Linked DNA regions of Cricetulus griseus. The protein of the gene in region 3 purifies or fractionates together with the protein of the main gene of each other region. This does not show direct contact. Links are inferred from orthologs where the notes say so. Each region holds a gene or a part of one and is shown on either strand. Other genes may lie near its edges.

Region 1 (3,500 bases), on a different chromosome or scaffold from region 3:
TTAGACTTGGTTGACAAAGAGCACCCACTATTCCCCATCCCAAATTCTCTAATGCAGTATCTTATATTCTATGGAGCTTTTATAGAGGGAAACATCACTTGGACTTTCAACAGCACTGCAAAACTCCTCTACCCTTTTACTTTGCAGCAAAAGAAACCTTTCCATCTCCAGACTCCACAGCTGATGTCTTACATAGAGCATTCTGGACAGACTAACTCACTTATACATAAAAATGGACAACTAGCTGATTAAGCACCCAGATAAAGACTCTGATCTTAAGAAAGTGTCCCTTTGGGGGGAGGACACCCATTTGTAAACCGCTTCACTCTAAAAATCGTGAAAATGGGAGGAAATTACCAAATTATGACAAAACTAGACAGACACTATTATTTAAGACCTTTATTAACAGATGCTTGCAGTTTGTTAATTTTTTTTTGAAAAAATCAAGTTGTAAACTTTTATTACAAATTAAAAATGAAGTTCTTAAAAATCTCAACTTGACCAGATATGAAACAATTTAAAAACCATTAAAGGTGTATTGAGAAAAACCAGACCTTTTTTTTTTTTAAAAAACACGTTTGTCATTACCAAAAAGAGACATCTTTAGGTAAAAATAATAAAAACCCCATGCTGCATAGATAATGCAGATAGTTCTAGTGTATCTGGTCAACGGGCAAAAAGCAAGCACTTAAGGTCTTCAGCTCCAATCTTTGTTCATTTCTTATTGCTGGAATTTCATATTCATTTCTTCTTGTTGGATGACCAAACTGCAAAGAGAAAGACTCATTATTTACCATATTCTTCACATAGTGGACCAATCAGTCACATTTTAACTACCTCATTTTGCTTTAGCCTAAGAATGATTCATAACAGGAGTGGACATTACTGCATATGGATGATCTTTTGCTACTCAGCACATACAAAGGGGAAGAAAATGACAAGCCCAGAGCCAGAGATACTTTCTTCTCTTTTCTTGCTTGCCCCCCCCCCCCCCCCCCCGCGTAGCCTTGGCCGTCTTGGAACTCAGATCCCCCTGTCTCTGCCTCCCAAGTGCTGTGATGAACGGTGTGTGCCACCACTGACAGGCTGAATTTAGTCTTTTATCGGCAAGTAAAGCCAAATGGAAGCTAGGCTTGGAGGATTTAAGGCTGGCTTCAAATTCAGAGATCTGCCTGCCTCTGCTTCTAGTGCTGGAATATATCTCCAGAGAACCAGGAGCAAGACTTAGTTTTCTGCTAAGATCACAGAGTTGACCGACAGACATAAGTTCATAGTCAAAACATACAACATGAAGACTGATCTAAAGGGAGACATTTTGTCTAACTTGGATTAGAGTGAACAGTAATAAAGTGCTTGTTTTACTCTATTACTGTTTTTAGTTTCTTTTGCACCAGTGCACAGTGCAGTGAACCGCAGAGGATGACTACTTACCCGGATGATGGTAGAGATGGTAAGCCGGCATTTACTCAGCCCCGCCCTGCTCAGCCTCGGGAGCGGACGAATTCTCAGCTGGTGGATCGGCTGCTTTTGTCTCTTTGCCATCTTGTGGTTTAGGGTTCTCTGGGCGTCTGCGTCGGTAATTGAAGTTGCGGCGATACCGACGTTGAGGTGGTTGCTGACCCTGGGTCTCATCTCCTTGATTTTCCTTGTCTTCTTCATTGCCGTCCTCTCTAGGCTGTCTTTGGCGAGGAGGGCCCCTGAAATGAACATTATATAACTTCAAGAGTGATAATACTTGGTACTTGGTTATACCTACCATTTTCTTTTATTGGTTGTTCTGACAGCTTAGCAAATGTAAATTACTTCCAAAAGCCAAGTGTAAAAGATTCTGTATAAAAGGTGTATTTCTTCATTTCATTCATATAAACCAAGGCCAGTAAAGCTGAGCTTGCTGCTTAAATGCTTGGAATTGAGTGCTGGTGCACTCAATTCAATACTTTTTTTACTCAACTTATTTTCTTGCTAGTAACTATTGTTCTATTGTATGTTCTAATCTATCATTTCTATTTATCATACACTAAAATTCTTGACCACACATTTTCTTCTTAACTCCATTCCATCAAAAGGATCCATACTTTCTATCCATGTGTCTTAAGATTTGTGGCATGGTTGGAAAATCATACCCTTTGTGCAAACTTAAAAAAATTACTATAAAATTAATTCAAGGGGCTGTAGAGAGAGATAGCTCTGCAGTTAAAAATACTTGTTCAGAGGACCAGTGTTTGATTCTTAGCACCAACATGGTGACTAGCAACCACCCCTAACTCCTCAGAACCATCCAGTTTCAGGGGAACCCACAACCTCTTCTGACTTCCACAGGCACCAGATATAATACATTCAGGCAAAACATTCACACACATACAGAACATTAGCTGTAACAAATCAAGGAACAAAAGCCTATGTAAGGAAGCAATCAGAGTGTTTCTCTGTAGTTTTGGCTATACTGGAACTCACTCTATGGATCAAGGTGTCCCTCACAGCCTCAAACTCAGATTTGCCTGCCTTCTATGCCTGGGATTAAAAGCCAGAAACACCACCACCTGGCAGTATCTCTAACTTAAACCACCACCAAAATATATTTGCTCAAGATACTAGTGAAACTAGCAAGAGATTTAAGCTACACTCGCACACCCAAGATTCTGTTGTTGACAACTATAGACTAATATATACTGATAGGAGAGCATGCTTTACGTTTTATACTTAGGCTATGGCAATGGGTGTAGCACTGAAGAATTTCCAAATCATTAAAAACATTAAGTCATCAACATTAAAAACAGAAAGAATTCAGCACAAGGACAACACAATCAAATCATATTCACCAGGGAGTAGTCCAGATGCCCCAGTGGTCCCCAAGCACCCACAATTCATGTTCGTAACATCAATTCCAGAACATCAGATGCTTTCTGGACACCATCATACATGTGTTACACGCAGGTAATGTTTCAAATAAAATCAATCTAAAAGTTAACCAAGAAAAGGTTCCTAATTCATCTGAATTAAAAACACAGGACAGGGCAAACCCTTTTAATCCTAGCTAGCACTCAGAAGACAGAGGCAGGCAGATCTGGATCTGAGTTTGAGGACAGTCAGGGCTAGACAGAGTTCCAGAACACCCAGGGCTACATAGAAAAACCCTGCCTCAAAACCAACAGGACAAGGACAGCAGGTGTGGTGTTTCACTCTTTTTAATCCCAGGCCCGAGGAAGCAGAGGCAACTCAATTTCACTGAGTATTGGCCAGTTAGAATTACATGAGGTCCTGTCTCAAAAATAAAAATCCAACCACCACAGGGCACATAAGCTTAGACACTGACCATGTTTTGGTACTATTGGGTGCTGTGTAACATGTCTTCCATCCTAGCCACTCAAGAGGTAGAGGCAGAAAGATGAGTAGTTTGAGGCTAGCAGCCCAAGCAACTTAGTTAAATTCTGTCTTAAAAAAAAAAAAAAAGAAGAAAAGAAAAGAACAATGCCAGGGAGAGGAGCCGGGAGAGTGATCAA
Region 2 (4,225 bases), on a different chromosome or scaffold from region 3:
CTTCCTTCCTTCCTTTCTTTTTTTCCTTCCTCTCTCTCTCCCTTCCTCTCTCTCTTCCTTCCTCTCTTTCTTCCTTCCTCTCTCTCTCTTCCTTCCTCTTTCTTTCTTCCTTCCTCCCTCCCTCTTCCTTTCTCTCTCTCTCTCTCTCTGAAGACAGAGTATCTCTGTGTAACAGCCCTAGCTGTCCTGAAACTAGCTTTGTAGACCAGGTTGGCCTCCAACTCAGAGTTCTACCTGTCTCTGCCTCCTGAGTGCTGGGACTAAAGATGTGCACCACTCTGGTTTATTCCTAAATCCTAAGGGTCAATGCTTGCTGTTACTTGCTGTTACAGTAAAGGGAGAAAAAACAGGTTCCACGTTGTCAAAGGGCAATAAGGGTGGGAACCCAGCTGAGAGAACAGCAGTTGCTGGGTGGCCTCGATGGCCTTACATCCTCAGTCAATCTCCAGGACGCCAAGAGTGGAATGTGAAGGCTTTTCCAAGGACACATTTACACTGTAAACCAGACAACAATTATAACTTTAATATAACAAATATTCAAAGCAGCAATTCAAAACCAAAATCTTTTCAAAGGTGCACAGGGTTACACTGTCAGTTGGCAGTAATGCAGCCATTATCTGTGGGAGTGAAGAGCTAGTGTGAGGGTCAGGTGACCTGCTCAGGCCTTGGGCTGGTTTCCCCAATGGAACAAGCACACTCCTCTCCTGCTCTTCAGGCCCAGCAGGGGAAAGGCAGATGGCCAGCCTGCTCTCTGGCTCTCTCAGCAGCCTGGAGGGCAGATGTTGGAGGTTGGCATGCTTACTGAAGCCAACAGGAAGCCACAAATCTGACCCCAGTTCCCACACTACTGCTGGCCTGGGACCTGGCCCCACTTGGGGATCTCAGTGGCAGCAGCTGTGAGACTGAGAACGGGGACCAATGCCATCTGCTCATGCTTGCCTGAGACAAGAGAGAGAAGCAGAGGGAAATGGGTGGCTGTGTCCAGAGTGAGAGGTGATGTCCCTTTGTAAGGCACTACAATTGCTGAGGTTTAAGGCAAGGACCATCTAACCTACTCCTGGGACCCCCTGAATGCTTGCAGACAGGTGTGGAGGGGTCAGGCCTAGTCATGGAAATATCAGCCCCCTTAATACAGGTCTGATGTTCCCATGCTGGCCATCTTCTTCTTCCAGCTGGCAGCCTGCAAAACCCTGCCCAGCTGGAAGCCACAGCAGCAGTCAGGGAGGCTGGTCCCAATCTGGTGCCCCTGCCTCCCACCCCAAAGGCACTTCTTTCCACTTTCCAACCAAGTTCTAATATTGCTGCAGGCAAATTAAGGGCTTCTTGCCCACCTCCTAATTTTGATTTCACTCCAGATGGGGCTGTTTGTCCATTTTAAGGGTTCTCTTTATACCACAAGGACAAAGGCTTCCTTTATGAAAGGAGGGAATGATTCAGGCCCTTGAAAAAACCCCAGCCTGTCCCCAAAGTGATTGTCAGTTCCAGGGTGAGACAGGTGCTATTCAGGAGAGGGGTGTCTTTTGTGCTTCTCTGTGGGGGTCAAGGCTGGTTTACAGCCAGAGGGGGTAGGAGTTTGTTTTTCACATTTAATTGCAGCATGTATCCCAGCAGCATGTATCCCTGGAAGAGGTCAAGGACAGGAGCCAGGGTGCCCAGAGGGAATGTGACTGTGTGTGTGTGTGTGTGTGTGTGTCTCTCTGTGTGTGTGTGTGTGTGTGTGTCCATACAGTGGTGTGGTGTTGGACTATGATGGGTCTGGGATTTAAACTGACCTGGCTTGGCTCCCCATCATTTCTTTTGAGATCTAAGTGTTTAAGAACAAGGCCAGGCTCCACTCCATGACAACAGAGAAGGGTTATTGCTGGAACAAACTTCTGGGACCCTATAGTCTTCCCTCTGAGCCTCAGTAAAAGACCCTGATCCTGGTCCCTTCAGCAGAGACCCAGCTCATCACTCCCCAGGCTCTGGGTCCCAGGCATTCCAAATTTTCTCAGACACCTTCCTGGCATTAGGGGTGTTGGTGAGAAAGTGGAAGACCCTCAGGGGTTCCTTTCTCTCAGTGTGGTCCCAGTGAGAACCCAGAGAAGGACAGACGTACATGTGCACATAGAAGATGTGTGACAACACAAAATACCCAAAAGGGGTGAGGTAAAAAGATAGAGAACTGGGGACAATGACAATCAGATTCAGGCCTCAGGATCACCAAGGGTCACATCCAGGGTACCATGGAGCCAGAGGAACTAACAAACAGTTCGAGGGGCATGAGAAAGTCAGCGGGGTCTAGAGACACAGGCAATCGGTACAGCAGCACACAGGCCTTGGCCTGGCGGGCAGCAGGCAGGAGCTATAGCCAGGCCCTTATGGCCCTGCTCTGCTTCCCTCCACCACCCTGGCCTGGAGAAAACAGGGAGCCGATGGCTTCTTCTGTCCCTCCTTTGGTTTCCAGGGGTCTAGGTAGCTCCTGAGGGGTAATCAGTAAGGGGTAGTCCCTTCCCATTCCAACAGGTACTGAACTTTGCCCTCTGGTGTGACCCTCCGAGCCAACACTTGATATTTCTCCCCACAGGCCAGCCGTCCAGCTGCACCAAAGTAGTTGGTGATAGATGACTTGAGGTGAGACAAGGAGGAGTCATCTTCACTGATGCTTTCCAACGTGTGTCTGTCAATGCCTTCATCTGGCTGCTCAGGGCCCAGAGCTCCCTCTGCACTGCTGTCTGAGGGGCAGCGTCCATCCAGCTCAGCCGCCTGACGCTTTGCCCGCAGGGGCACGTATGCTTTGGCTGCCAGCTTCCTCTTGCGGCTGCCTACTGTCCATCTGTATCAGGAGGGAAAAGGGGTGAGCTGGGACAATGATTAGGTTCCTTACCCCGAGAGTCTCTTAGGTACCGTGCCGGACCTGGGCGTGAATTATCTTGCCGGAACTTCACAGTAGTCCTGTAATGGGGAAACTGAGGCTCCAGAGAAGAAATCAGCTAGAGAACAGAGGCCAGGAGTCAAACCTGGGTGTGCTTAACTTAAATAGCAAATGTTCTTTGTATCCGGAAGGGTGGGTTGTGTATGCTTCCAAAGTCCCACAGTCAAAGGCCTTGTTTAGGCTGCCTGTTTTTTTTTTTTTTTTTTGGATGAGCTGGATGAGCTACACAGGGAAAGGAACTGAAGGACCTGCACCACACAGGCAGGGGTATTAGCAAAAAGATACAAGAGACAAGCTACATGGTAATGGATGCTGAGACATGGCTGCCATGACCTGAAGCACTAGTGAGAAACCCAAAAAGCAGAAAGACTAGGGGTGATAGCCCAGTGATAGAGCACTCTCTAGTATTCATGAAGCCTGGGTTTGATCCCTAGAATCCAATTAAAGCTACAGAAGGGCAGCCAGCCAGAGACGTGTGAAAATAGAGAAGGGATTCCATCTTTATAGACATGGACTGCAGTTTAAGTCTACTCCCACAAAGTCTCTAGAAGATGGAGGATCCCGAGTAAAGAGGGGCTGTGCCCGGCAGTAAAACAAGTTATACCCTTAGCCAGACAACCAGGGTCTTTTGCCTCCCCCTACAGTCTGCCTCTCTTCTATGCTTAAAATAAATGGATTTTCCTCTTAGGGACCCTGGCATACAAATCAGCCAGCCAGGAACTGATAATAGGAGCCCTGCAGTCTGAGGCATAGACAAACACAGTCATGACACATAGAGGCCAAGACACCCAGAATGAAAAGGACTCTGATAAAACAGCCCCAGAATTGGGTTGCTTGATTAGAGGGATCACACGGCTATCAGGCAAAGGACGTCCCAAGTGGAAGGGATCACAACACCTTAGCCTCCATTCTGGTGACTTGGAACAGAGTGTCCAGAGTAGACTCAGTCACAGAAGACCAGCACCCCTCCCCTACCTCTCTATCTCAAGACTGGGAAGTGCAGAGTAAGTCTTCCTACAGCAGTGAGGACTGCGATCCCTGGCAAAGCTCTGGGGCAGGCCCTCAGGAAGCTCACCTGGAGTCATAAGAGAGGCTGGTGGAGGCAGAGCCGGAGGTGCTGGCAGCATCCGTGGAGTCCACGTCTGAGAAGACTGTCTGGCTTGAGCTGGTACTGAGAGGGAGAGAGGACAAGCCTGCTGCTGGGCTGCTCAGCAGCTTCTATGTCTCTCATGGCATCCTCCATCCAGCAGAGGCCACCTTCTTCTCACTGCCAAGCTTCTCACTCGTCCCAGGCCTGCCTGTCTTATTTTC
Region 3 (4,162 bases):
GCATTTGTCACATGCACTCTGGGTGTACATATTTTGTTTGTATTTGGACATAATTGCATTTTCTCTCAATCTTAGAGATTCTAAGCATACTTCTCAGCATTGGATAGTTTCAGTACACATGAAGGACTAGATGCTTTGCTGCTATTCTCGGTGGTCAACTTGACTATATCAGGAATTAACTAAAACTCAAAGAGGCTGGGTGTACCCTTCAGGGATTTTTTTAATTAAATCATTTGTTTTTAATCTGGATCTTTTGAGGTGGGAAGTTAAACCTACTTGTTTTAGCTCCAGGTGGCAAATCCATTCTCTCACTGGCAGTATATTAAAGACCAGTCAAAGACATCCAGGTTTGTGGAATGAACTAATACTGGATTCTTGGTTTTCTGTTGGTGGACAGCAATTGTTGGACTAGTTGGTCCACAGGCTGTAAGCAATTCTCATATATCTCCATCTTCATCTACACACACACACATACATATATATTCATTTTATCAGTTCTGATCCTCTAGAGAACCACGACAGATACATAACTCAATTTCCAGTGTTACAAATTCTCAGTCTTAACTCTTCATTATTGAATCTGTTTTTACGGGTCTATGGGATTTTGCCATACAGACACATATTATTAAAAGTGAATTCGGCCGGGCGCTGGTAGAGCACGCCTTGAATTCCAGCACTCGGGAGGCAGAGGCAGGCGGATCTCTGTGTGTTGGAGGGCCAGCCTGGTCTCCAGAACTAGTTGGAGGCCAGCCAGGGCTACACAAACGAAGCAAATTCGAAGTTTCTTTCACTCCAGCTGCCAGATAACGCAACAGGGGTTAAGAGTGTATACTAAGCACATTCCTAACTCCTCTTGGTTGAGACAGAGGGACTCCCAAGGTGGTTTTCTAACCCTTGACAAACGTTGCAATCTTCCTTACACACTTTCCCGCGACAGCAGGGGGTAGGCGATCTGCTCTCCGAAGTTGTTAATAAACAACCTGGAGCCGGACAAAGCTGAGCAAACCACAAACACGGCTTGTTCAGGAGAAACCCGAAGTCACCGTCCTGTTGCTTTTTTCTGACGCGGCCGGGACTCTTGGCGCCAGCCGGTTCTGCGAGCCAAAGACGCCGAAAGGAACCGCGCTTTCTCTGCCCCGTGGGGTCCGCCACGCGTCTTCCTGTGCGAGCGAGGGGCCCCGGGGCCCAGCCAGGATGTGCACACCAGAGATGGCGGTTACAACTGTCACCTCCCCCAGATTTGAACTATTTCAAACTTGGCTCTGGCGCCCGCCCGCTCGCTCGCCCGCCCCCCCTCCCTCCCCTCCCCCTCCCCCTCTGGAGAGCGGTTCCCGCCAAGGGCAGGCCCGCCCTCCGGCCGGTTCCCGCCACCGCGGCCTCCCCGCCTCCTCTCATCACAGCGGGCTTCGAGGCCTGCCGAGTGCCGGGCCCCGGCCTGCCCGCGGCGCCCCCGACAGGTACCCGACGCCGGCACCAGAACAAAGACGGCGACCGGGGGGCGCCTTCCACCGCGCAAGCCGCTCTCCTCCTCCTCCTCCCTCCGCCGCCTCCTCCTCCTCCGAGCGAGCGAGCGAGCGCCCGCCACTCGCGCCCGCGCGCAAGGCTCTCAGCGCGTCGGGCGCTCTGATTGGACGGGCGCACTCCGGCGTCCGCCAATCGGGGCGGCGCTTGATTGCGCTAATAAAAGCGATGGCGATTGGGCTGCTGCGTTTGGCGCTCGGTCCGGTCGCGTCCGACACCCAGTGGGACATCGAAGGCAGCGGAGTGGCGGCGGCGCGTGGGGGCGGCGCGCGGGAGCGGCGCGCGGGAGCGGCGCGTGGGGCGGCGCGGGCGAAGGTAGCGCTCGCGACCGGCGGTGGGCAGTGCGGGCTCCGAAACGCGGCGCCCCGGGGCGGCGGCGGCGGCGGCGGCGACGCGCGGACCTCGGCGCGGGTGCCCGGCCGGTCTCCGGCATCGCCCGAACGGGGCTCCCTCGGGCGCCGCTTTTGTCGGCGCGGGGCCGGCGGGGAGGGCGACGGAACCTTTCCGAGGGGGCCGTGAGGTGCGGGCCGGTCCACGCGGTCCCGCGAGTGTCCTGTGCGGGTCCCTGGAGATCGAGCGCACGGGCGGGCGGGGCCGGTGGCGGGGGCTCCTGTCCGGGAGACCGATCCCGCCCGGCCGGCTGGGGCCCGCGTCGGGGCCGGGGCCCGGGGCGTTCCTGTGGCCGATCGGGACCGGCAGCTGCGAGCCTCAAGTCTCCTTTGTGTGGCGGGCGGGCGGGACGGGACACCACACACAAGTTGGTGGGACCGAGCGGAGTCCGCACTCAGACAAAGGACGGACTGTGTCTCCGGAGCGGAGCGGAGGGGAGGGCGCGACCCCCGGGGCTCCCGCCGCGCGGGTGGGGGCGTGGGGAGGCGCGAGGCGAGCGCGAGTGGGCAGGGCTCGCCTTTCGGGGCGGGCCGGGCCGGCCGGGCTGGGCTGGGCGCGGGGTGGGGGCGGGCGGGCGGGCGAGCAGCTCTCGGCACCCGGCACCGCCGCTGCGCTTCGGGACTGCGAGCGCCAGCGAGGTGGGACCTCCCTCAGCCCCGAGGCTGACATTTCCCCGAGAGCCGCGGGGAGCCTCCTCGCCTGGCTTTGTGCTAAGTTCCCTGGGGACAGTGGAGCTGCGCCCGGGGCTCTCGGTGGCCCCGGCGCGGAGGGCTCGCCTCACGGTGCATCGCCCCCTGCGCGCACCACAGGCTGTGCCGCGCGCGGGGCGACTTTTTGGGAAATGGGAGAAACTGAGAAAGCACGGGCTTTCTTTCTCCAAACTTGGTGGGCGTTTCGTGAGTTCCACTTTCTAAAGAAGAGTAATCTTTTTTTTTTCTGTTGTTGTTTAAAAAAGGGGCTGTTTAGGCCAACTTGTTTGCTTTTGAGAATGGCGACAGGTGCTAACGAAACCAACTGTCATTTACTCAGCGATTATTCCCCGAATCTCCAGGGGTTCAGTGTGGAAGAGATGATACAACTGGATGATCGAAATAAAATGCCCACGAGAAATGTGGGCTTAGACTGTAGTAGGGTTGACAGTTTCTTATTAGTGGGTCATGTTTTCCCTTGAACAATAGCTTTGTTGAGTCAGAAAAGAGGTTTGCTACCCAAGAAATTCGAATGTATTCTGGTCACAATTCCATGAAACTTCCTTTGTTTATTACATACGATCTGTAGAACCTAAATTCATTTGAAGTAAAGAATCTGCCTTTGATATTTAAAATACTTTACTACAAGGCTTTCTCGGTTTCAAAAAAGTCGTTATTAGTTTAATTTTATGGGGTTTTTATGTCACATAAAACATTTGAAAAATATTTTAAAATGCTAATTCTGTCACAGTTGAATGTAGTTTATATTTCTGGCAATTTTTGAATTTATTTTCAATTACCTTTGATTAATGGACATTAGCAGTGAATCCATATTTAGAAATAAAATATAAAGCACTATATTTTAAGCAATTTACTCATAATTTTATTTGCAAAAACGTGGAAATATTTGGGTCATAATTTAATTTCCTGTTCTTGTTCTCCCAAGTTGGAAAAGGATTGTATTCTGGTCTTAAACGAAAAGATTCCTGCTTTTTCTCTTTGGAGTCATATTAGAGAATGAGCTATTTAAAGCCCCAGAAACACTTAGGAAAATTGCATCCTAAATTATTATTTTGATGGTGCTTGAATATACTTCTTAAAAAACAAAGCAAAAGGAAAGCACAGGCTCTGCTTATTGCAGTGTTTTATATAATGAAGACCTAAAGTACATTTGCTAACTTACAGCTTCATACAAATGGAGAGAGACAAAGATGCAGTGTCAGATCTCTAGTGCTTCAGATTTGTCAAGCAGAGCATCTCAGAACAGACATTCCAGTGCTGCTCTAAGTGTTGAAACTAAAATAAGATTTACATTTATTTTAAAGTCCTGTTGATACTCTCATTCATTATGACATGAGCTAGTTGTGTAGAATTTTGGTAGAAACTTGGGTGTTAGACTTTAAAAATGCCAGTTTTGCCTGAACATGTGACTTGCCCTATCGTTGACATTTGCTATTTTGTACTTGCAACAGATATTTTTTAAAACCTCTTTTTGAAGAATTGGCTAAGATTTTTGCCTTATGTTTTGGTAGAATTGACAGTATTTTTAGGCAGTCTAAATA
Region 4 (2,263 bases), on a different chromosome or scaffold from region 3:
CCACGAGCTGGTCTACTCGTCTGAGAGCCTGGGCCTGGGGGAAGTGGTAGCTGTACTTGAAGGTGGTCCCTGAATTCCAAAGTTGCAGTATCATACTTTTGTCTTAGAGGGAGGGGTCTAGGATGGGTGGTTCATAGCTGGTCCATCAGAGCCTTCTGGACCCAGATTTGAGCAGCATAAGGTACTGCTGCCATCACCCCATCCTGGAGGCTTTATCCAAGGAACTGTTGGAGCTCTCTGGCTCCTCGTCTGCACGGTCATACGCAGTTTGCCTGCCAGGTAGGCCTCAGTCTGCTGAGTGCGCCACACGCAGGAAGTCAGGCACAGTGAACTGCTGCAGGTGTGTGGTAGTCTCTGGAGCTCTTGGAAAGCCTGGTGTTGTGTAATTACTTGGAAGAGGAGACTAGAAAGCATGTTCCTGGCAAGGTGTCCTAAACATGGCTAACCCGTCTGTCTGTCTGTCTCTCTCCTTTGCCTGTCTTGGGCGCGCTGACTCTTCCAGATCCCAGCTACCGTTCCTTTCACTCTGGTGGATACGGCCAGGATGCCTTGGGGATGGACCCTATGATGGAGCATGAGATGGGTGGCCACCACCCTGGTGCTGATTATCCAGTTGATGGGCTGCCAGACCTGGGGCATGCCCAGGACCTCATGGACGGGCTGCCCCCAGGTGACAGCAATCAGCTGGCCTGGTTTGACACTGACCTGTAAATCGACCTTTAGGTAAGCAGCTTATAAAAGCCAGTGTGGGTGAAGTACTTTACTCTGCCTACAGAACTCCAGAAAGACTTGGTGGGGTGGGAATGGTTTTAGGCCTGTTTGTAAATCTGCCACAAAACAGATACATACCTTGGAAGGAGATGTCCATGTGTGGAAGTTTTTCACTTTGATGTTTTTGCCACAGCTTTTGCAGCGTTACACTCAAGACGAGTAACATTTGCTGTTCTCAACATTAATTAATAGCAGCCTTTCTCTCTGTACAGCTGCATTGTCTGAACTTGCATTGTGATTGGCCTGTAGAGTTGCTGAGAGGGCTCGAGGGGTGGGCTGGTATCTCAGAAAGTGCCTGACACACTAACCAAGCTGAGTTTCCTATGGGAACAGTCGAAGTAAACTTTTTGTTCTGGTCCTTTTTGGTCGAGGAGTAACAATACAAATGGATTTGGGGAGTGACTCACGCAGTGAAGAATGCACAGGAATGGATCACAAGATGGCGTTATCAAACCCTAGCCTTGCTTGTTTTTTTTTTTTTTTTTTTTCTTTTGTTTTTATTTTTTGTTTTTTATTTTTTTTAATATCTGTAATGGTACTGACTTTGCTTGCTTTGAAGTAGCTCTTATTTTTTTGCAGTAACTGTTAGTTTTAAGTCTTGTAGTGTTATGTTCTAGTGAACCTGCTACAGCGATTCCTGATTTCTGAGAACTGAGTAATGGTGTAGAACACTAATTCATAATCACGCTAATCGTAATCTGGAGACGTGTAACATTGTGTAGCCTTTTGTATAAATAGACAGATAGAAATGGTCCGATTAGTTTCCTTTTTAATATGCTTAAAATAAGCAGGTGGATCTATTTCATGTTTTTGAACAAAAACTTTATTGGGGATATGTGCGGTAGGGTAAATCAGTAAGAGGTGTTATTTGAGCCTTGTTTTGGACAGTTTACCAGTTGCCTTTTATCCCAAAGTTGTTGTAACCTGCTGTGATACAATGCTTCAAGAGATACGGTTATAAAAATGGTTCAGAATTAAACTTTTAATTCATTCGCTTGTGTCACTTTGGTTTGTCCCGAGATGGTTGTTGAGGTTCGAGGAGGGGGAGTGCTTGTTCCTTCTCCAGCATCCCACCAGAGGAAGGAAGTGCATGTGTGCCAGTACCAAAGGGTTATTTATTAGTTTTAGCTCACCCTTCTTGCCTAAGAACCTAGCAGGCTTCCTGCAGTAGTCTCTGTGTTACACTGAGCAGTCACTAAAGCTGGACCCCGAATAAGCCTCCCTTTGGACAGTGTCCGTCCCACTGAGCAGTAAGGAAGCACTGCCTGGATTTGTATCAAGCATCATTGCGAGTGTGGCTCACTTGGAGAGGGCAATCTTTTCACGCCTTTGAACCAGTAATTATGTTTAAATGCTTGTGTTTATCTGAACACAATCAGAACCAGAGTGGGCTGCCTTCCGAGTGGCCTGCCAGAGCTGGCCTGGTGGTGGGTCTGATCAGCAGGCATTGTACATTTCTCACACAGACCTGTTAGCCAGCATTCCAGCCCTG
Region 5 (3,951 bases), about 9.8 Mb from region 3:
GAAGGAAGGAAGGAAGGAAGGAAGGAAGGAAGGAAGGAAGGAAGGAAGGAAGGAAGGCACAATCCATCTCACCAGCGAAGCTGTAACCTCCGGACCTTCTCAGGGCCACCCCGGCACACACAGCATTCAAATTCATAGAATCTGGACATGAGGACAGAGAACGCACCTCGTTCAACTCTACAAGTGGTAGACAGCGAACGCTGGGAGGCCTGGGCGTGGGTGGAGCACAGCAGGCGGGCGCCCTGGGCTTCCTGGACAGCCTCCTTTGGGCTCACCTGTCTCCGTAGAGGAGGGGCTTGCTCAGACACTGGGTGCAGGCCTCGTGGAACCACTGGAGACAGCTCCGACACTGCAGCATTTTCAGGTTCCACCTCAGGGGAAGACAGCCTGCCTGAGACCACCCTGAACCCTCACCCACCTCCCATCACCTCGGGGCTCCCCTCAGCCTGCCCCTTCCCCTTTATTCCAGGCTCTACCACCACAGCGTCCACCCCAGAACTCAGCACCCCCACCACTCACTCCCCGGGGCCTCCACAGTAACAGTAGCTCTGCTGTCGGTTGCTCAAGTGCCCGGCGTCCCAGTCCAGCCCCTTTAGTCCATACGGCAGACAGAGCTTCATGCCCAGCATGGCCCGGGCATAGGGGCCCTTCTTCAGGGCGCCCCCCCTCTGCAGAGGAACAGGTGGAAACCTCAGAGAGGCAGGAGAGAAGGGGCCATGGGAGGCTCCCATAGGAAGTGGCAGAGAGGTGCCTTTACCTTGGTGGCAATCGCAAAGACACACTGGCGGCAGACCCAGGATGTGCCCTCTCCTTCTCCAGGGGCTGGGGCCCTGGGAACGTGACAGTCCTGGTGATAAGCTGAATAAGGACAATGTTGAGAGTCAAACACTGTGTGCGCACCTGCATTGGCTTGGTGCTCGTACACGGCAGCCTTCCCTTGTGCGTTTATATCCTGACCATGGTCCTACTGTGTGTGTGTGTGTGTGTGTGTGTGTGTGTGTGTGTGTGTGTGTGGTGTGTGTTTGGTGGGGGGGCTGGAGAGATGGCTCAGAGGTTAAGAGCACTGGCTGCTCTTCCAGAGGTCCTAAGTTCAATTCCCAGCAACCACATGGTGGCTCACAACCATCTGTAGTGACATCTGGTACCCTTTTCTGGCCTGAAGTTGTACATGCAGGCAGAACACTGTATAATAAATAAACAAATCTTTAAAAGACAGAGAGAGAGAGAGAGAGAGAGAGAGAGAGAGAGAGAGAGTGAGAGGTATGTAGCTACCCTCAACCTTAGAGAGAGAGAGAGATGTATGTAGCTACCCTCAACCTTGCATGGCTTATGTCATCTTCATCCTATGGCTCCCTCTCCCTGTACTGAGATGAGGTGACAGGGTGAAGACTGGCCAAGATAGGAGACACAAGACCCATGCTAGGAAGACAACTGGCAATCCAGAAGACCCAGGGCAAACTGTACCATTCAAGTATCCTGCCCTCTCCTCTCACCATGACGACACTTCTCACAGCTGACCAGCCGGTTCCCAGGGACCACCGTCTCAGAGCGACAGACACAGCAGAGGAGCTCCTCCCCAGGGAGGGCAGCTGTGAGGGACAAGGTGTCAGGTGGCTTACTTCAGCCAGTGTCCCCCACACCCTCCAGCTTCTGCAGTTATGAAGGGTCTCACCCGGGCTGATGTCCTTCCATAGAACCAGAAACTGGGAATCATCCTCAAACTGGACCAGACACACCTCCCGAGCACTGTCCACCTGGAGTGGGTGAGCAAAGATTATAAAGTGGGAGCAGGAATCAGAGGGAGAGGATCCATGGTGGGGCCCAGAGTTGGCTCTTACCTTTTTGATGGTGCCTAAATACAGCAGCCCATCGGTCCACCTAGCCAGCACGTCTTGACCCTCCCAAAGTCGAGGTCTAGGGCCTGAGGTGGGAGCAGGGGAAGCTGGATCCCAAAGAGAGGGTGCACCCAAGCGGCTCAGCCGGGGGAGCTGCGCCATTGCATCCTGGGAGGGGCTAATCAGATACGATGGAAGAGTTTATGAATGTTAAGAAGGCTTGGCTGCTCTGTCTGCTTTTACTGTCAAGGATAAGGGACCAAGCACCTCCAAGCTCAGTCACTGAATCCTTTAGACACCTAAGGAGGTGGGTCACCCTGGTCCCCAGCCTGGTTCTCTAGCATCCCAGCTCCCTGGGGCCTTAGGGGAAAAGATGCTTTCAGAGCCAAGGTTACCATTCATTCAGTTTCGCCTTTCCCAGCTGTTTAGAGGTATCCTAACTGGGACGCTCGGTTGCCCAGAGATATTTTGGGAGCTTTTCTGGAGATGTTTCCCTGAGTAGAGACATCCGCCTCCCCAGGCCTGTGTGTCTCATTTAGAACCGCTGTCCTGGTGCCAGGTTATGTTAGGTCACCCTCAAATTTGAGGCTGCTTGCCCTGGGATTAGATAACTTCCCCGAGTGCCCCAGGAGGGGGGCGTGTCCCTGTCCAGGTCTCCGCTACCCTACACCGCCGGTCTGAGGAGGGACTCGAGTCCCCCCAGCCCGGATCCTAAGCCGGTGCCAAGAGGCTCTCCTGCCCCCTGCTGAGCATCGACCCCCGGCCCCCTCCCTGCCCCCGCTCAGGGCCTCCCGCCTCCTTCTTACCGGTGACAGCTGGGTCAGCAGGGAGCCAGCTAGGGGCAGACCCCAGAGCCCTAGGGGCGCGAGCCCCGGCGCGGGCGGAGTGCGTGCGGACGCCGAGGGCGTGCAGGAGGAGGCCGGGGGTCCCGGGGCCCAGCCCCTCCGTCCTAGCGGCTCTGGGGCGTATGACGCAGCAGCCAAAGCAGCGGCGGCGGCGGCGGGAGGAGTCGGCCGCGGGAGGGCGGGAGGGAGGAGTAGTGGGTGGGGAGCACCAGAGGGAGGAGAAGCCGGAGGGGCGGACAGGCAGCACCTCCCTCACCCCCGGCAGGCCCCGAGGGCACCGCACGGCTGGGGGCGCGGCCGGCCGGGCAGGACGAGGGGACCCCTGCAGCCCCCTTTCCGGACGGGAGGCTCGCCCCGGGAGCGGCAGGAAATAACCCTGCTGGCAGCCAGCCTGCAGGTCAGGGCCCAGCCCCGCCCCATGCCACATCCGTTAGCTGCCCCGCCCCCGTGGCCACTCCAAGCCCCGCCTCCGCACGCGGCCCCGCCCTCCCCATTCACACTTCCTGTCGCCCCGCCCTTCTGCGCACGCGCGGCCCCGCCTGGGCGCTGCACCTGGGCAGACAGCCACACCTCCTGCCGCGGGAGCCCGGTGCGGCTGCGCTCCTCCCTCCCGGGCGGGCAGGCGAGCGAGCGGGCCAGGGCCGGCGAGCGGGCGAGCCAGGGCGGCAGGGCCAGCACCCAGCCGGTGACGTGCCCACAGCCAGCCAATGGGCAGCGGGCGGCAGGGAACCGTAGTTCCAAGCGGTGGGCAGGCAGAGGGAGGGGATGCGGATCGAGCGCGCTGGGACTCACACCAGGCCCGGTGTGGCAGCTATGGGTGCAACACCCGCGCTGAAGGACAGCCAAGTGAGAGCCCAACAGAGAAAAGCCCATAGCCTCACTGTGCAAAGCACACGTCAGAAGCCACACTTCTGCAAGCTTACGGTATTTGTTTACAACCTACCAGGACTAACAAGACCTTTATTTAAGAGCCGTAACAAGGGCTGCAGAGATGGCTCGTCGTTAAGAGCACTGACTGCTTTTGCAGAGAACCCACAGTCGCTCACAGCCATCCATCAGACCAGGTCCAGAGGACCTGAAGCCAGCCCTCTTCTGAACTCAAGAAGCACCAGGCATACACATGGCGCACATGTACACACACCCAGGCAAAACAACCATGCGTAAAGTCTACAACAAAATTTCTTTATTTGATAGTTGGGTACAAATGATGTCCACCCAATAAAAGCGTATCTCTCACCCCCCTCTCCCCCCCAGTACACACAGAGAGAGAC
Region 6 (3,500 bases), on a different chromosome or scaffold from region 3:
GTGAAAATTATTCAAAAAAGCTAATGTCTATATTCAACAAAGCTAATGTGTAAGTCACAGAATTCCTAAGAGTTCTCTGAAGTTTACACTCTCCCTCCCTATCTGGATTCAGGGTTTCAAGAGTTTGTTTTCCTAAAAGAAAATATTAAGTAAGCAAGTTTTCCCAGGTTAGGAAATGTTCTCTTCTACTAGTGGCAGACACTAAAGGCAGCACAAAAGCTGTGTCCAAATGCCACAGGACTCAGAGCTATCAAACTTATAATCTAATACCACATCATTTTGACTCCAGTAAAGACCTGAACTGAGGGCTGGAGAGATGGCTCAGAGGTTAGGAGCACTGGCTGCTCTTCTAGAGGTCCCAAGTTCAATTCTCAGCAACCACATGGTGGCTTGTAACCATCTATAATGAGATGTGGTGCTCTCTTCTGGTGTGTGGCATGCATGCAGGCAAAACACTGTATACATAATAAATACATCTTAAAAAAAAAAAAAAAAGACCGGAAATGAATCAAAAAGTAGACTACTGCCTATAAACATGTTTTCTAGTAGACAGAATGAGGAATACACACATGCATATTAAATATGGAAAGGCTTAGGTTCTCCTCTCCTCATAGAATAGGGCCATGAATTTAGTAAGAATTCCAAAACAAAGATCATATACTTCCAAGAGAAACCAGTTCAGACTTACCATATTGTATGAGTCTTTGTCCAAATACCAGCTCTTCCCAGAGGATTGCTCTCATCATCAGTAGATTCCCTTTCATCTTCAGCCTGTACACTGAACTGCCGCACTGCTTGATACACCGTCATGTTATATGGTAGTAAATGTTCTCCAATATAAAACTGTAGCCTGTGCCTTACATTTCCTGAATTTAAAAACTGAGCAGCCTGAATAAAGCAAAGAAAGGTCCATATAAGCATAAGTACTGACATCTGTGTATTAACCAAGACATATCTGCTGGGAAAACAAGACCTGTGGTGGGTGTTTAAAACTACAGATCCTCCGGAAGCCCAAATCACTCACCTGAAATGCTTAAAGACAGAAATGCTCAGAAATTGAAATTTTTTTCTTTGAAGTGTTGTTTTTTTGTTGTTTGTTTGTTTTAAGTATACTTGCATATACACAAGGATGGGACCCCATGTCTAGACAATTCGTATTTTGCATCCACAGCTTTGAAGCCAACTGAATATTGGTACAAGTAATGTAATTTCCATTTTTTTCTACAACCTACCACATATTCGCAAATGCAGATATTGCATATGCAGCATCCATTTGATTTCAGATTTTGAATTCATTTTAGGGATACTCAACCTATATTAGTCTATTTTTTCCCTCTACATACACAACTAAAAATTATTCCAATTTATAAGCAAATTCAACAAGAAATTAGTAACAAAATGATTATATAAATACACTAAAATAAGTCACTAATTACTAGAACAATTACTCATTTTTGTGATTTTTTTCCAACAATGGTTGACATGAGGCCATTTGAATCCATGGAAAGCCATGATGAGCATATACTACAATACTACTATGTAAAAAATAACTTACCAGAGACTCATCTATTTCTTCATCTGATCCATCATCATCACTGTCTTCATCATCTTCTCTTACTCTTCCATATCCTAAGGGGGGAGAGTAGATAGTTATCTAGAAATTTTAGGTGTCAGATAGAAGTTTATACACATTGGTTAAACTTTTATTTTCTTAAAAAGAAGTAGACATTCTACTATACGAAAAAGAAAGAGCTACAAAATTCTGAAATACTGCCCATTAAGGAAGTTTAACATATGTCCATTTCTAGTAGAAGCAGATATACCTAAGGTATATCAGAAACAGCAATATACTCTCTAATGCTAATTTCATAACAACACAGGTAAAGTAGGTAGATGGAAAATACCTCTAACCACAAGATATCTTACCTCTAACCACAAGATATCTTTCAATCGCTTGCACCAAAGCCAGGGGATCAATCTTGACAGGACCGCCTTTCCACTGCTTCACATTTGCACAGTCTGGGTGTCTTTGTAACTGACATTTTAACTGATGTGTGTTGAAAAATTTTAAAGCTTGTGATCCTCTGTTGAGAGAAAAGCTCAAGATAATTTAAGAAAAAAGGTTATTCTATTATTTGCAGTCAACATATTAGTAGTTTAAAAAGATAACAAAAACTTCCTTTTCTTATGGTTCAAAGTACTTAAAAGATTTAACAACAAATCAAATTATTCAATACAAGTTGTTATAAACAGCAACTAAATGAGTTTTTTTAATTCAAGTAAAAGCATAAAATAAAATGATCTCTGGCCACTGTGAATTCATGTGATCAGTGGCTTACTATCTGAGCACACTCACTCCTGATGTATTTTGTGCTTCCCTACTAAATTCAAAAGAGGGAAAGAACCCTCTATTGTTTTTAATTTTACTTTAATTTCACTTGCAAAAATAAAAACAATAAATAATGATATAAAAATAAAAACTAGGGGCTGGAGAGATGGCTCAGAGGTTAAGAGCACCGACTGCTCTTCCAGGGGTCCTGAGTTCAATTCCCAGCAACCACATGGTGGCTCACAACCATCTGTAATAATGAGATCTGGTGCCCTTCTCTGGTGTGCAGAGTGTTATATACATAATAAATTTCTTAAAAATCAAACTAAATAAATAAATAAAAATTAACCTTCACATTTACTTTGCTACATACTTCTAAATGAATGGCTACATCAGTTGATAACTGTTTCTTCCTGTTCAAAGTTCTGACAAAAGTCAAATATAGTCAAACTTAAAATGTGGCTAATTATACAACTCCATGAAGCACTCAAAGCATAGTTCATATAAACTAAGACAAAAGTGAAATGCCTCAAGTCTTTTTTGTTCTGGTTTATGTTTTTGATACTCAAATATCCCAGACTAGTTCAGAATGGCGGCTTCTTATAGCTATTCATTTAAAAGGATGCAGCAAAGTTTTGTTTTTTTTTTTAATTTTGCTTTTATTTATAAGTGAAATCTAAAGCACACACAAAAAGAAAATAGAATTCATCTTCCTTGATTTTTAGATGACATTACGGGTATGCCAGCATGTTTTGTGACACCCTTTGTTTCATGACACTATTCCAAGATAGTATACTGATGCAGCATGTTATGCAGAAAACTTCAGCCATACTATGAACAGCATTATTCTACACATGACTATAGTTGTTGCTTAGATTCAAATTTTAAGAAATGCATTTTAAACACAAGAAAACATGGATTTTAAAAAATAACATATTGCTTTTTTCAATGAAGATTTCAGAATTCCCTAACACCAGTAAGAAACACAAATTTTTATTTATCAAACTTCAATATGATTGGTTACATGCTAAAACCCAACAAAACTTTATTGGGCCAGCCAGTGGTGGCACATGTCTTTAATTCCTAGCACTAGGAAGACAGAGGCAGATCTCTTTTGAGTTTGAGGCTGGCCTGATCTACAAAGTAAGTTTCAGGACAGCCAGAGCTGTTA
Region 7 (3,500 bases), about 63 Mb from region 3:
AGAGGCAGGGGTATCTCTTGAGTTTGAGGCCAGTCTGATCTACAGACAAGAAACCCTATCTCAAAGCCAAAAAAAAAAAAAAAAAAAAAAAAAAAAAAGATGCCTTGTATATGGCATGTGTCTTTAATCCCATTATTCAGGGGAGGCAGACACAGGCACATCTCCAGTTCAAGGCCAGTGTGGTATCCATAACAAATTCCAGAATAGCCAGAGTAACTAACATAGGGAGTAGACTGTTTTCTGTACTCCTGACCCCAGTAATCCAGCAGCACCAACTGCAGAAAGCCTTTGTCTAGAAAGAAGGCAACTGGTCAGGCGGTCAACTTAGAAACTGCTAGGAACCTAAGTATAAGTTCTCAGTTTTAGACCAAGAAAAAAATGGTTTTTCTTGGCTGTACCTCCTTCAGAATTGTAGCAGTAGGCAGTGTAGTGTCCTGAGCCAAATCCTTTCCCATGGTGGATTACTACAGCAGATAAATTGTAGATGAAGCATTCTGGTCTGAGAGCTTTCAGGGTCTCCCTGCAGCAATAGGGCTCCATGTTCAAGGTTTCCTCAAAGACAACATGAACACCAATCTTCTCTCGGTTATTACGTCCTGACCATCTGGGAACAAACAACAGTAAAAATCAAGGGGAGAAAGTTTGCTTTACATTAGGTCTAGACAGCTTTAAGAGTGGATCTCATAGACCACGAAATACAAAGAATTTGTATAGAACACACCCTTTCAATACTGAATTGGCCATAGAGGATTTAGGATTACTTTGCAGAAAGATCCAGCCAAGATTGCCCCATTAGTTTTAAGAATGCATAAATAGCTGGGTGGTGGTGGCGCAGGCCTTTAATCCCAGCACTTGGGAGGCAGAGGCAGGTGGATCTCTGAGTTCGAGACCAGCCTGGTCTACAAGAGCTAGTTCCATGACAGCCTCCAAAGCCACAGAGAAACCCTGTTTTGAAAAACCTTTATTGTATGCCCTATTCTTCCCTCCATACCTTCCTTGTTCATGTTGCTCTTTGGCTTAAGTGATCCTCCACTTATATACTTTATCTTTTGGGCATGCTGTATGAAGCTCAACACTGGGCCATGAGATACATAGGATTAAAAGGGGAGGGGGACATGGTTGAGTGGCTAAGAGCAGCTATGGGGTAAAGATCAGTTGTCCCAGGAGGTTCTGAAGAAGTGGCTGTTCAAGCATCAGAGAGTATGGAACAGGGTGGGTGTAGGTGTCCTGTGCTAGATTGTTAGGATCTATGCTTCAGATAGGACTCCTAAAGGTGTGGCCATATTATCTAAGACTTGAAAGGTTGAGGTCCCCAAGTGCCCTAAGACAGGCTCTGGGAAAGTTACACACTTTACCACCTTTCCTCAAATGTGACATTATTTCTATAATCCTGAGAAAGGAACCTACTATCTCTCACAGCATCTTAATTAACTGCTACAACAAACACCTAAACAGTCAAAGTTAACAGTGTACTGTAACAGTGTAATGCTGTACTTGAATTTAAGAAATTTAAGAAATTTTTTTTTGGGGGGGGGTGTGAGACAGGGTCTCTCTCTGTGTAGCCCTGGCTGTAGAACAGGCTGACCTCGAACTCAGATCTGCCTGTTTCTGCCTCCTGAGTACTGAGTCTAAAAGGTGTGCACCACCGTTGCCTGGCTAAGAAATTATTAATCTCAACACTGGAGAGAGCAGAGGCAGGTGGATCTCTGAGTTTTGAGTTCAAGGCCAGCCTGGTCTACTGAGAGAGTTCAGGACAGCCAGGGCTATACAGAAAGACCCTATTTTGAGGGGAAAAAAAAAAAAAAGTTATGTAAACTACTTTAGGAGCTAGCAAAGCAAGACAGCCTAAGTGGGAAAGAGTGGCTGCCACCAATCCCGTCAAACTGTTCAATCCCCATGACCTACACAGTAGGAGAGAGCCATTCTCAGAAGCTGTCCTCTGACCTCTCCATGTGTTTTGTGGCATTCTTATGTGTGAATGAACATGCATTTACACAAATAAATAGATACATGTTTAAAAAGGCTTTGAATTGAACTTGAGATTTTATTTGTTTATTTTTGAGTCAGGGTCTCACTGTATACCCTGTCTGTCTGTCCCGGAACTCACTCTGAAGGCCAGGCTGCCCTTGAACTCACAGAGATCCTTCTGCCTCTGACTCCCAAGTGCTAGGATTAAAGGTGTGTGCCACTACACTTACTACATTTTATTTTGATGTTCATTTTGGAAGCTGTTCATACTACAGTGTGTGAGTGAAGGCCAGAAGACAACTTAGGGGACTCAGTTCTCTCACCATGGGTGGGGTTCAGCGGATTGAACACAAGTCATCAAACTTGATGGCAGGTGTTTTGACCCTTCTCAGTAGCCCCCAAACTATGTTGATTAGTATATTTTAAGCAACTGAGTAAAATATACACATTACAAATTACATTTTTTAAAAGTATACCTGAGTATTAAACAATATATTAAAATATATATAGCAGGTCATAGTCACTGCTAGGATATGTGATATACTCTTATGAGTGTCCAGGAGACTGAGGCAGAAGGATACTCAATTTGAGCCAGCCTAGGGTACATTACATAGTAAGTTCCAGGCTGCCCTGGTCCTGGCTCAGAAAAGCAGTAACAAAGCTGGACAATAGTAGCACATGCCTTTAATCCCTGCACTCAGGCAGCAGAGGCAGGCGGATCTCTGTGAGTTCGAGGTCAGCCTGGTCTTCAGAGTTAGTTTAGGACAGTCAGGGCTACACAGAGAAACCCTACCTCAAAAAACAAACAAACAAACAAACAAAACTCAGTTATTAAATATGGATGATGCCTATTGTTCCAAGTTAAAGATAGTAACTACATTTTTTTGAAGGATGCCATCCACTAGCCAGGTATATAGTGTTCAAATTTAATCCGTCATATGTATATGTTAAGTTCTGAAGCATCCTAAACAGAAGGAATGACCAGATTACTCATAACTGGTAGAACTAGCATTACTGACCTGAATCGTTTAAGGTGTAGTCTGAGAACTTGAGGTAGGTGGCATATCATAAGCTGTTTCTGGGCTTCTGTGAGTACAACTGGTTTTGACGAAAACTTTCTACGCTTTGCTAAAATAGCAAAAAAAGAAAAAGCAAAAGAAAACCTCAGTTTCAAAACTACAAGGGAAACATGAGTAAACTCTTTTACAACTAATCTACTGTTACAGCATCACACTGTGCTAGATGAGCATAAGCTTTGACCCCAACGAGTGCATGATGTAAACAAGAAACTTGAGTAGTCAAGTTAGGTAACCCCAGGACTTAATACTAATCCTGTAAGGGGTCAGCAGCTGAGAGCAAGTACTTGGTTTTGCAGAGCATCCATGTTGAGTTCCAGGACCACAGGGAGGCTCACAACTGCCTGTAGCCACAGTAACAGGGAATGCCCTGCCCTCTTCTGGCCTTTGTGGGCTCCACACATGTGGTGTACTTATATACATACAGGCAAAAACACTCATACACATGAAAATAAA

Evidence for each region.
Region 1: the proteins of Ezh2 (region 3) and Ybx1 purify together in Homo sapiens (affinity purification with mass spectrometry, with the first as the bait; 3 studies listed by BioGRID). This does not show direct contact. The link is inferred for Cricetulus griseus from reciprocal best matches to the Homo sapiens genes EZH2 and YBX1.
Region 2: the proteins of Ezh2 (region 3) and Phf19 purify together in Homo sapiens (affinity purification with mass spectrometry; 10 studies listed by BioGRID and IntAct, counting the BioPlex papers as one, with this or other methods). This does not show direct contact. The link is inferred for Cricetulus griseus from reciprocal best matches to the Homo sapiens genes EZH2 and PHF19.
Region 4: the proteins of Ezh2 (region 3) and Ctnnb1 purify together in Homo sapiens (affinity purification with western blotting; 4 studies listed by BioGRID, with this or other methods). This does not show direct contact. The link is inferred for Cricetulus griseus from reciprocal best matches to the Homo sapiens genes EZH2 and CTNNB1.
Region 5: the proteins of Ezh2 (region 3) and Phf1 purify together in Homo sapiens (affinity purification with mass spectrometry; 15 studies listed by BioGRID and IntAct, with this or other methods). This does not show direct contact. The link is inferred for Cricetulus griseus from reciprocal best matches to the Homo sapiens genes EZH2 and PHF1.
Region 6: the proteins of Ezh2 (region 3) and Trip12 purify together in Homo sapiens (affinity purification with mass spectrometry; 3 studies listed by BioGRID, with this or other methods). This does not show direct contact. The link is inferred for Cricetulus griseus from reciprocal best matches to the Homo sapiens genes EZH2 and TRIP12.
Region 7: the proteins of Ezh2 (region 3) and Usp44 purify together in Homo sapiens (affinity purification with western blotting; 3 studies listed by BioGRID, with this or other methods). This does not show direct contact. The link is inferred for Cricetulus griseus from reciprocal best matches to the Homo sapiens genes EZH2 and USP44.

What each region holds. Positions count from the first base shown.
Region 1 is NC_048595.1:32,887,712-32,891,211, reverse strand, and holds the end of Ybx1 (Y-box-binding protein 1), read right to left. Parts: intron 1,698-3,500; coding exon 1,463-1,697; 3' UTR 1,432-1,462; intron 768-1,431; 3' UTR 387-767; downstream 1-386. UniProt on the Homo sapiens protein: DNA- and RNA-binding protein involved in various processes, such as translational repression, RNA stabilization, mRNA splicing, DNA repair and transcription regulation.
Region 2 is NC_048599.1:146,619,064-146,623,288, forward strand, and holds the end of Phf19 (PHD finger protein 19), read right to left. Parts: intron 4,086-4,225; coding exon 3,990-4,085; intron 2,816-3,989; coding exon 2,473-2,815; 3' UTR 501-2,472; downstream 1-500.
Region 3 is NW_023276806.1:222,346,834-222,350,995, forward strand, and holds the start of Ezh2 (histone-lysine N-methyltransferase EZH2), read left to right. Parts: upstream 1-1,362; 5' UTR 1,363-1,457; intron 1,458-4,162. UniProt on the Homo sapiens protein: Polycomb group (PcG) protein. Catalytic subunit of the PRC2/EED-EZH2 complex, which methylates 'Lys-9' (H3K9me) and 'Lys-27' (H3K27me) of histone H3, leading to transcriptional repression of the affected target gene.
Region 4 is NC_048597.1:228,017,470-228,019,732, forward strand, and holds the end of Ctnnb1 (catenin beta-1), read left to right. Parts: intron 1-502; coding exon 503-711; 3' UTR 712-723; exon of another isoform or gene 724-1,142; 3' UTR 1,143-1,763; downstream 1,764-2,263. UniProt on the Homo sapiens protein: Key downstream component of the canonical Wnt signaling pathway.
Region 5 is NW_023276806.1:232,131,055-232,135,005, reverse strand, and holds the start of Phf1 (PHD finger protein 1), read right to left. Parts: upstream 2,801-3,951; 5' UTR 2,642-2,800; intron 2,014-2,641; 5' UTR 1,998-2,013; coding exon 1,839-1,997; intron 1,755-1,838; coding exon 1,673-1,754; intron 1,590-1,672; coding exon 1,494-1,589; intron 859-1,493; coding exon 758-858; intron 669-757; coding exon 520-668; intron 372-519; coding exon 276-371; intron 142-275; coding exon 73-141; intron 1-72. UniProt on the Homo sapiens protein: Polycomb group (PcG) that specifically binds histone H3 trimethylated at 'Lys-36' (H3K36me3) and recruits the PRC2 complex. Involved in DNA damage response and is recruited at double-strand breaks (DSBs).
Region 6 is NC_048595.1:436,881,013-436,884,512, forward strand, and holds part of Trip12 (E3 ubiquitin-protein ligase TRIP12), read right to left. Parts: intron 2,100-3,500; coding exon 1,927-2,099; intron 1,630-1,926; coding exon 1,556-1,629; intron 889-1,555; coding exon 689-888; intron 1-688. UniProt on the Homo sapiens protein: E3 ubiquitin-protein ligase involved in ubiquitin fusion degradation (UFD) pathway and regulation of DNA repair.
Region 7 is NW_023276806.1:159,842,046-159,845,545, reverse strand, and holds part of Usp44 (ubiquitin carboxyl-terminal hydrolase 44), read right to left. Parts: intron 3,097-3,500; coding exon 2,988-3,096; intron 605-2,987; coding exon 399-604; intron 1-398.